Linked DNA regions of Notamacropus eugenii. The protein of the gene in region 1 binds, or shares a complex with, the protein of each later gene. Links are inferred from orthologs where the notes say so. Each region holds a gene or a part of one and is shown on either strand. Other genes may lie near its edges.

Evidence for each region.
Region 2: CYFIP1 (region 1) and WASF2 share a complex: the UniProt entries of both Homo sapiens proteins name them as parts of the WAVE2 complex. The link is inferred for Notamacropus eugenii from reciprocal best matches to the Homo sapiens genes CYFIP1 and WASF2.

What each region holds. Positions count from the first base shown.
Region 1 is NC_092876.1:400,100,681-400,104,579, forward strand, and holds the start of CYFIP1 (cytoplasmic FMR1-interacting protein 1), read left to right. Parts: upstream 1-1,420; 5' UTR 1,421-1,527; intron 1,528-3,899. UniProt on the Homo sapiens protein: Component of the CYFIP1-EIF4E-FMR1 complex which binds to the mRNA cap and mediates translational repression. In the CYFIP1-EIF4E-FMR1 complex this subunit is an adapter between EIF4E and FMR1.
Region 2 is NC_092876.1:68,627,108-68,631,006, reverse strand, and holds the start of WASF2 (actin-binding protein WASF2), read left to right. Parts: upstream 1-1,484; 5' UTR 1,485-1,571; intron 1,572-3,899. UniProt on the Homo sapiens protein: Downstream effector molecule involved in the transmission of signals from tyrosine kinase receptors and small GTPases to the actin cytoskeleton. Promotes formation of actin filaments. Part of the WAVE complex that regulates lamellipodia formation.

The DNA.
Region 1 (3,899 bases):
CCATCTGTGTATCTGACTACATAGTGCAGTCACCCTGGCACCTGATAAACTAAAGAAAGTAAAATGTAATTCCCCGGTGCTCTTTGAACTGTCCCATCAGTCAGATTCCGATGGTGGTTTTGTGTTTGTGTTTTGGTTTTTTACGGGAGTCTTGACAACTATGAAAATCTAATTCCCACCCAGATTATTTAAATAAACACATACAAACAGTCTAGTTTCTCATTGATGTGCATTCATCCACTAAGTCAGGGTTGTAAAACTGGTATTTCATCAACTCGTCACACTGGTCTTTGGATCCCTGGCACCAAATGTGGTGCTGTGCCCAGGAGGGGTATTAACATTTGTTGAAAGGAATTATCTCCTTGTCCACTCAGAGGTGGAGACCCTGAATGGCACCGTACATCCATTTTTAGAGAAGATGTTTTTTAGTGATCCGAAACTTGAGGAAAACTTATCAACCGGAGACTATGACCACTCTTTGGTTTTCCCAATACATCAGAGCTTCTTGGAGTATTTTTCCTAAAGTTTGCGAACCTCTCCAGGCTTTTCTGCAAAGGAAGCACCGCACGTTCTCCCCACGCTGTCTGCGGCAGGGATGCCTTCTTTTTCCCCAGGGCGGCTTCCTTCTAGGTCTTTTCGTCCCGGCTCCCAAATAAAAGGGCCCAGGCTCCATTTTGTGAAGGCAGGAAACTCCCTTCTCCAGCAGCCTAGCAAAGCCGGGGCGGGGGAACAATAGGCGCTCCATGCATCCTCCTTCTGGCCCAGACCGCGGGGGCGTGCGGGGAGCAGGGCTGTGCGGGGAGCGGGGCTGTGCGGGGAGCGGGGCCGTGTGGGGAGCGGGGTCGTGCGGGGAGGAGGGCCGTGCGGGGAGCAGGGCTGTGTGGGAGCGTGGGCGCTCGCGTGGGAAGGTCCGCCTGGGGTCTGCTCCCCGGCCGCAGCCGAATGGGCACGGGAGCGGGGAGGGGGGAGAGACGGGGATGAGACACTCCATAGGGAGGGCGGGGAGGAGAAGAAAGGAAGGGAGGCCGGGGGGCGCGGAGCCGCTTTCCCAGCGCCCCGGGCCCGGCTGCACGGAGCTGGGCGGCGCCAGCGCCGGACTCCCCGGGACTGGCCTGGAGAAGGCGGGGCTCGGCGTGTTTAGGGGAGGAAGGGGAAGGGAGAGGACGAGAAGAGCGGGAGGTGGAGCTGTTTGGGAGGAAGGGGAAGGGATGGGATAGAAGCGGCAGCACAGCCGGGGCCGCCCCCTCCACCACCCCCGCTACAGCCGCTCCACCAGGAGGAGGAGGAGGAGGAGGAGCAGCAGCCCTCGGGACTGAGTGTGTGTGTGTACTCGGGAGCCGAGGAGGAGGAGGAGGAGGAGGAGGAAGGGTGTTTCCTAGGGCTGGTTCCAGTCCGAGTGACTCAAAGCAGGAAATTCCCCAAGAGCGGCCCGCCGGAGCCGGGGAGCGCGGGGTCCCGGGAGCGACCTGCCCTGCCCTGCCCTGCTGGGGCGCAGCAGCTGGGCAGAGGCGCCTCCCCCACCGCCCGGTAAGAAACTTTTCTCTGCTTGTCTCCCTCTCCCCCCCGGGGCCCGCACCGTGCGCGGAGTCCCCTCCGCCGCTCCTCTCCCTCCCCCACCCTACTAGCTGGGGGCAGGAGGGCTTCCCTTCCCTCCTAGCCCCTTTCCGGAGGCTCCGGGGTGCCTACCCTGCGGCCAGTGTCCGCCCCCGAGCCGGTGTGCTGGGGCCGGGGCGGAGGGCCAGCGGGGCCGCGGACCGCGCGGTGCGGGGGTGTGGGACCCTGCCCCTGCGGACCGCGCGGTGCGGGGGTGTGGGACCCTGCCCCGGCCCCCGCCGCCTCCCTTCGTCCTGCTGAGCCGGCTCCGAGCCTCGGGGTCCCCCTTGGGGGAGAGGAGGGGGCGAGCGGAGCCCGGCCCTGGGGCTGATTTGAGGGAGGGGGTGGCCCACGCATCAAATCTCATCACGGAAAACCTCGTTCCTCAAGCTGTGTGAGTGTGTGTGTGTATGTATGTGTATGTATATATGTGTATGTATATGTACCCCATACTCTCCTGGACCCTGGAATGTCACTCCTTGAAATCAACTCCAAGAAAAAGATGGAAAAGGTGACCAGGAGTGGGAAATCCCGAGCAGCGTGTGTGTGTGTGTGTGTGTGTGTGTGTGTGTGTGTGTGTGTGTGTGTGTGTGTGTGTGTGTGTGTGTGTGTGTGTGTGTGTGTGTGTGTGTGTGTGTGTGTGTGTGTGTTTCAGAATCCTACACCTTCCTGGTTCCTGGTCCACTCCTTGTAGTCAACTCCAATAAAAAGATGCGAGTGGTGACTGAGAGTGGATGTAATTATTAACCCCCTGGCTTTCTCCTACCCGCTGAGCCCTAGTTGACTCTGGAGAAAGAGGCCTCGAATTCGATGCTTACAGATTATACCTTTTAAAGAGTCCCTAAGGGCAGGGCGAAATACCGTGGCACAGATTTGGGGTTATGGGGGTCGTGTATGGTTCAGATCAGTAGTGGCCAGGTTATTTTATCAGAACAGGATGTGAAGCAACTCAAAAGATTTTTGGTGAACTCTGTGTTTTTAAAATGCACACAACTCATTCTGCTTTCTGTCCTGTGCTTTCCTTTTCCTTTTCCAAACCATGAAATAGAAATAATCCAACGCTATATATAAAAGAGACAGTTATCAGGTCCATACTCACCTGGTATAGTGGTCCTTGTAAGGTTTGGAACGTCTCTTTTTTAATGTAGGAACCCCCCCCCCCCTTCACATGTTTTTGCTTACAAAGAGATCACTTTCAAAATAAGAGTATTTGCGATAGAAGTCAATTATTGAACTCCAGTAGTGTGTAGAGCTTTGTAGATAATAATGAGAATAGCTGACTTTTATGTAGTTCCTGAAGGCTTGCAAAATGTTTCATCTTATTTGAAACTAATTACTGATCTGGCAAGCGGTCAATATCCTTTTAGTAGACCCAGGCCTGAGAGAGGTTAAATAATGGAAAGTGTAGGTCACTTACCTAAGCCTGTTAATTTTGCATGAGGATGATAGATCAAGACTTTAAACAATTTTTTAAAAAATTCATTGCCTTTCCCTTGGGAGAGTAGAGAGATCATTCTAAAGTAAATGGATTTTGCAGGGCAGAGAGTGTAAAGTAAAATTCCCAGTCTTCCTGTTGATGTGCTCAGTGGCCAGTGTGATGGAAGAGACAGTCATTTTTTCTTTCCTGATTGTGAGTTTTTAAAATCTGACAAAGAAAGATCCATCGCTTGTATTTTAAGTATGAAATGTATGTAGCTGGAAATGTCACAAATTGTGTGAGTATAAGAAAAGGAATGAAGGACTTAATTGAATAGTTAAGTGTAAGCTTCATTTTTAAAGCCAAGAGGAGGATCCAATGCCAATCTTGGGGTTGATGTTTTTACAATCACAGACTGTGGTTACTTATTAAAGCCTGAATTGTATTGTTTGTTTTCTTGGGGCAGCTGAAGCTTTGGTATCTCAATATTTGATACCAATGGACAATTTCAATACTGTATACCTCAGTACGTCATTTATCATGATTTATGTTCATTTTGGCTTGACGGTGTAAAATGGAATTAATCACTGATTATGAGCTGACTACAGGATAGACTTAAAGCAGTGTTTCAACTAGAAAAAATTCCATTGCATGTTGATGAGTGCGTTGGAACATTTGACCAGTCTTGTCTAGAGTCTGACAACTAAAAAAGGCTGTCTTTCTTAAAACTATATATTATCATATATGTACATGTAAGATGTTAGATTTGCACCTGCTATTTTGTTTTTCCTGGAGCACTTTTACTTGACATTTTCTATTTGAAGAAAATAATGTTACATAAATTAACTTGAGGCCTGAAAAAAATTAAACCAAACTTTTAAATGGCATT
Region 2 (3,899 bases), about 330 Mb from region 1:
GGGAAAACTGCCCCTGACCTCAAGAAGTTCACCATCTGATGCCTTTCTGTGTGTCCCCAGCTCCGCACACAGTAGGTGCTTAATAAATGCTTTGACTTCATGCAAATAAAATATAAACAGGATAAATTGGAGGTAATCTCAGAAGGAGGTAACGTAGCCTTAGCGAGGGTGAAGTAATGATTAATCAGCTTGGATGAAGGGCTTTAAATGCCAAAGCAGTTTGAATCATATCCTGGATTTCTCCACGATGCTCCAGAAGATCCCTTCAGCCCTGGAGCTTGCCTTCAGCCTTGGGGACCCCTTTCTCTGACTGGACTCTGGAGGGTGAAAAGCACCTCGCTGAACCTCCACTGAAGGAGGGTGCCCAGGCTGACTGCGGGGGGAGGGGGATCCTCATTTCTCACCAGGGGTGCGCTACTCTGAACTTCTCCATCTCAACTTCTTCTCCCTTCCCTCCCCACCCCATTCCTTCCCGCGAGTGTGTGCGTGTTCTCCTTTCTTTCCGTCTGTCTTTGCGTCTCCAGGGTTTATACCATCATGCCCCGCACACTGACAGCGTCTAATACATGCTTGCAGACTCCCTGACCACTGAAGTTTCCCGAGCACCGGTACAGCACCATCTATTAGATTTTAAAGTCTTGAAGGGCGGGTAGTTTTGTCTACGAGCCCTTTCCACCCCCCAGCCCAGAACAAGAGAAAGCTTAGCACAAGTTCATCGGATCGAGCGGAGCGGACACGGGGGGTCCCCAGCCGTGGTGGCGAAGGGCAGGGGGTCCACCTGGGTCACAAGTTCTCCGAGGAAGGAATTCTGAAAAGCGCGGGGGCCCAGGGGCGTGCCTTAGACAGCTCACTTCTCCGCCACGTGGGGACCCCTCCTCCGCAGAGCCCGTCCCCGCCCTGGGTGTGCTCGAGCCAGACCCCGGGACGAGGCCGTGACTCAACTTTCCAGTTCCCACCTAGCCCGAGTCAGAAGCCGGGAGGAGGGACTGGGCAAAACCAACTGAAACCTGGAGGGTACACAGAAGGAAGTTCGGGGGCCCAGCTCATTCCTTCGCTTCCTGCGCACGTTTTCCTAGAACCGTTGCCAATAAACCACCGCCTAAAATGTTTTCAAAGAGCATCTGCCCTTCAGAAGCAGCGTTTCCGTACTTTCATTTAGGAAGTTGACTTGCTCGTACCCCGCCTTGAACTTCACTTGGTCTCCTCCGTCCTGTTTACTCCATTTGCGGAAGTCTTTCGGGTGGAGCTCCCGGGGCAGTGCCTGCGGAGTACGTCGTTTGCGTATCAGTTTGACAGGCGCTCCGTGAAGACCAATGAAAGAGCTGGAAGCTCCGAGCGGGCGGGGCTGTAAACCAATCAGATCTGGTGCCGGGGTGGGGCTATGTCTCCGGGAGGGGAGCGCGTAATGGCGGACGCCGATCTGGCGAGTGCGGCCGGGGGCGTAGCGAGCTGAGGGAGGGACCGCAGGCCAGAGTGGCTGCAGCCGCCGGGGGGCTAGACCACCCTGCGGACCGCGGCTGCGGGCAGAGGGGGCGTCAGGGCCTGCCGCGGTTGGCTCTTTCGGAGGCCAGGTGAGCAGCAAGTTCTCCTGGCCCGGGAGAGGGCGGCTTCTGGCGGGACCGGGCCTGGCCGGGCCGGGGCCGGCGTCCGAGGGTCCGACGGGTCTGAGCGGGCATGCACTGGGCAGGGGTGGGGGGCAAGAGCAGGGCCAGCTCCACGGGGAGCCAGCAGGAGTCCCGGGCTGTCCTGTAAGGGAGTGAGCGGGGGTCCCAGGCTGTCCCGTAGGGGAGTGAGCGGGGGTCCCAGGCTGTCCCGTAGGGGAGTGAGCGGGGGTCCCAGGCTGTCCCGTAAGGGAGTGAGCAGGAGTCCCAGGCTGTCCCGTAGGGGAGTGAGCAGGGATCCCAGGTTGTCCATAAGGGAGTGAGCAGGGGTCCCAGGCTGTCCCGTAGGGGAGTGAGCGGGGGTCCCAGGCTGTCCTGTAAGGGAATGAGCAGAGGTCCCAGGCTGTCCATAAGGGAGTAAGCAGGGGTCCCAGGCTGTCCTGTAAGGGAGTGAGCGGGGGTCCCAGGCTGTCCCGTAGGGGAGTGAGCGGGGGTCCCAGGCTGTTCTGTAAGGGAGTGAGCAGGGGTCCCAGGCTGTCCCATAGGAGAGTGAGCAGGGGTCCCAGGCTGTCCCGGAGGGAAGTGAGCAGGGGTCCCAGGCTGTCCTGTAAGGGAGTGAGCAGGAGTCCCAGGCTGTCCCGAAGGGGAGTAAGCAGGGATCCCAGGTTGTCCATAAGGGAGTGAGCAGGAGTCCCAGGCTGTCCCGTAAGGGAGTAAGCAGGAGTCCCAGGCTGTCCCGTAGGGGAGTAAGCAGGGGTCCCAGGCTGTCCTGTAAGGGAATGAGCAGAGGTCCCAGGCTGTCCATAAGGGAGTGAGCAGGAGTCCCAGGCTGTCCCGAAGGGGAGTAAGCAGGGATCCCAGGTTGTCCATAAGGGAGTGAGCAGGAGTCCCAGGCTGTCCCGTAGGGGAGTAAGCAGGGGTCCCAGGCTGTCCTGTAAGGGAATGAGCAGAGGTCCCAGGCTGTCCATAAGGGAGTGAGCAGGGGTCCCAGGCTGTCCTGTAAGGGAGTGAGCGGGGGGTCCCAGGCTGTCCCGTAGGGGAGTGAGCGGGGGTCCCAGGCTGTTCTGTAAGGGAGTGAGCAGGGGTCCCAGGCTGTCCCGTAGGAGAGTGAGCAGGGGTCCCAGGCTGTCCCGGAGGGGAGTGAGCAGGGGTCCCAGGCTGTCCTGTAAGGGAGTGAGCAGGTGTCCCAGGCTGTCCCGTAGGGGAGTAAGCAGGAGTCCCAGGCTGTCCCGTAGGGGAGTAAGCAGGGGTCCCAGGCTGTCCTGTAAGGGAATGAGCAGAGGTCCCAGGCTGTCCATAAGGGAGTGAGCAGGTGTCCCAGGCTGTCCCATAGGGGAGTAAGCAGGGGTCCCAGGCTGTCCTGTAAGGGAATGAGCAGAGGTCCCAGGCTGTCCATAAGGGAGTGAGCAGGTGTCCCAGGCTGTCCCGTAGGGGAGTAAGCAGGGGTCCCAGGCTGTCCTGTAAGGGAATGAGCAGAGGTCCCAGGCTGTCCATAAGGGAGTGAGCAGGAGTCCCAGGCTGTCCCGAAGGGGAGTAAGCAGGGATCCCAGGTTGTCCATAAGGGAGTGAGCAGGAGTCCCAGGCTGTCCCGTAAGGGAGTAAGCAGGAGTCCCAGGCTGTCCCGTAGGGGAGTAAGCAGGGGTCCCAGGCTGTCCTGTAAGGGAATGAGCAGAGGTCCCAGGCTGTCCATAAGGGAGTGAGCAGGTGTCCCAGGCTGTCCTGTAAGGGAGTGAGCAGGGGTCCCAGGGCTGTCCCATAAGGGAAAGAGCAGGATGAGGAAGTAAGCAGGGGTCCCAGGGCTGCTCCATGAGAGCCATGAAGAAATGAGCAAGGGATTCATGGCCTCCCCACCCCAAATGGGGAAGTGAACAAGGAGTCCCTGCTTGCCCCATGGTGGAGTTAGCCTCCTTTTGGAGTTGTGCTGGTGGGTACCAGGGCTGCCCCGTAGGAGAGTGAGCAGGGTAGAACAGATCTTCCCTATGGAAAGGTACAGGTGGGTACCAGATCTGTCCCTTAGGGAATTAAAGAGGTGCCCCCCCCCCGACATACACCTGGACCTCCTTAAATGTAAATGGAGTGCCCAGGCTGCCCCAAAGACAGACGTGGGTTTTAGAAGGTACTAGGTCTTCTCCACAGTCAGACAAAGGCCTGACCCATAGCTATGTGGGGCTGGATGTCAGGGCCATCCCATAGGGAATGAGAAGGAATGTACTAAGGCTGTTACATAGGAAAGGGTAAAGGAAGAGTTCCTATCATGGCTGCCTCAAAGACTGATCTAGACTGGGTCTGTCCCATAAA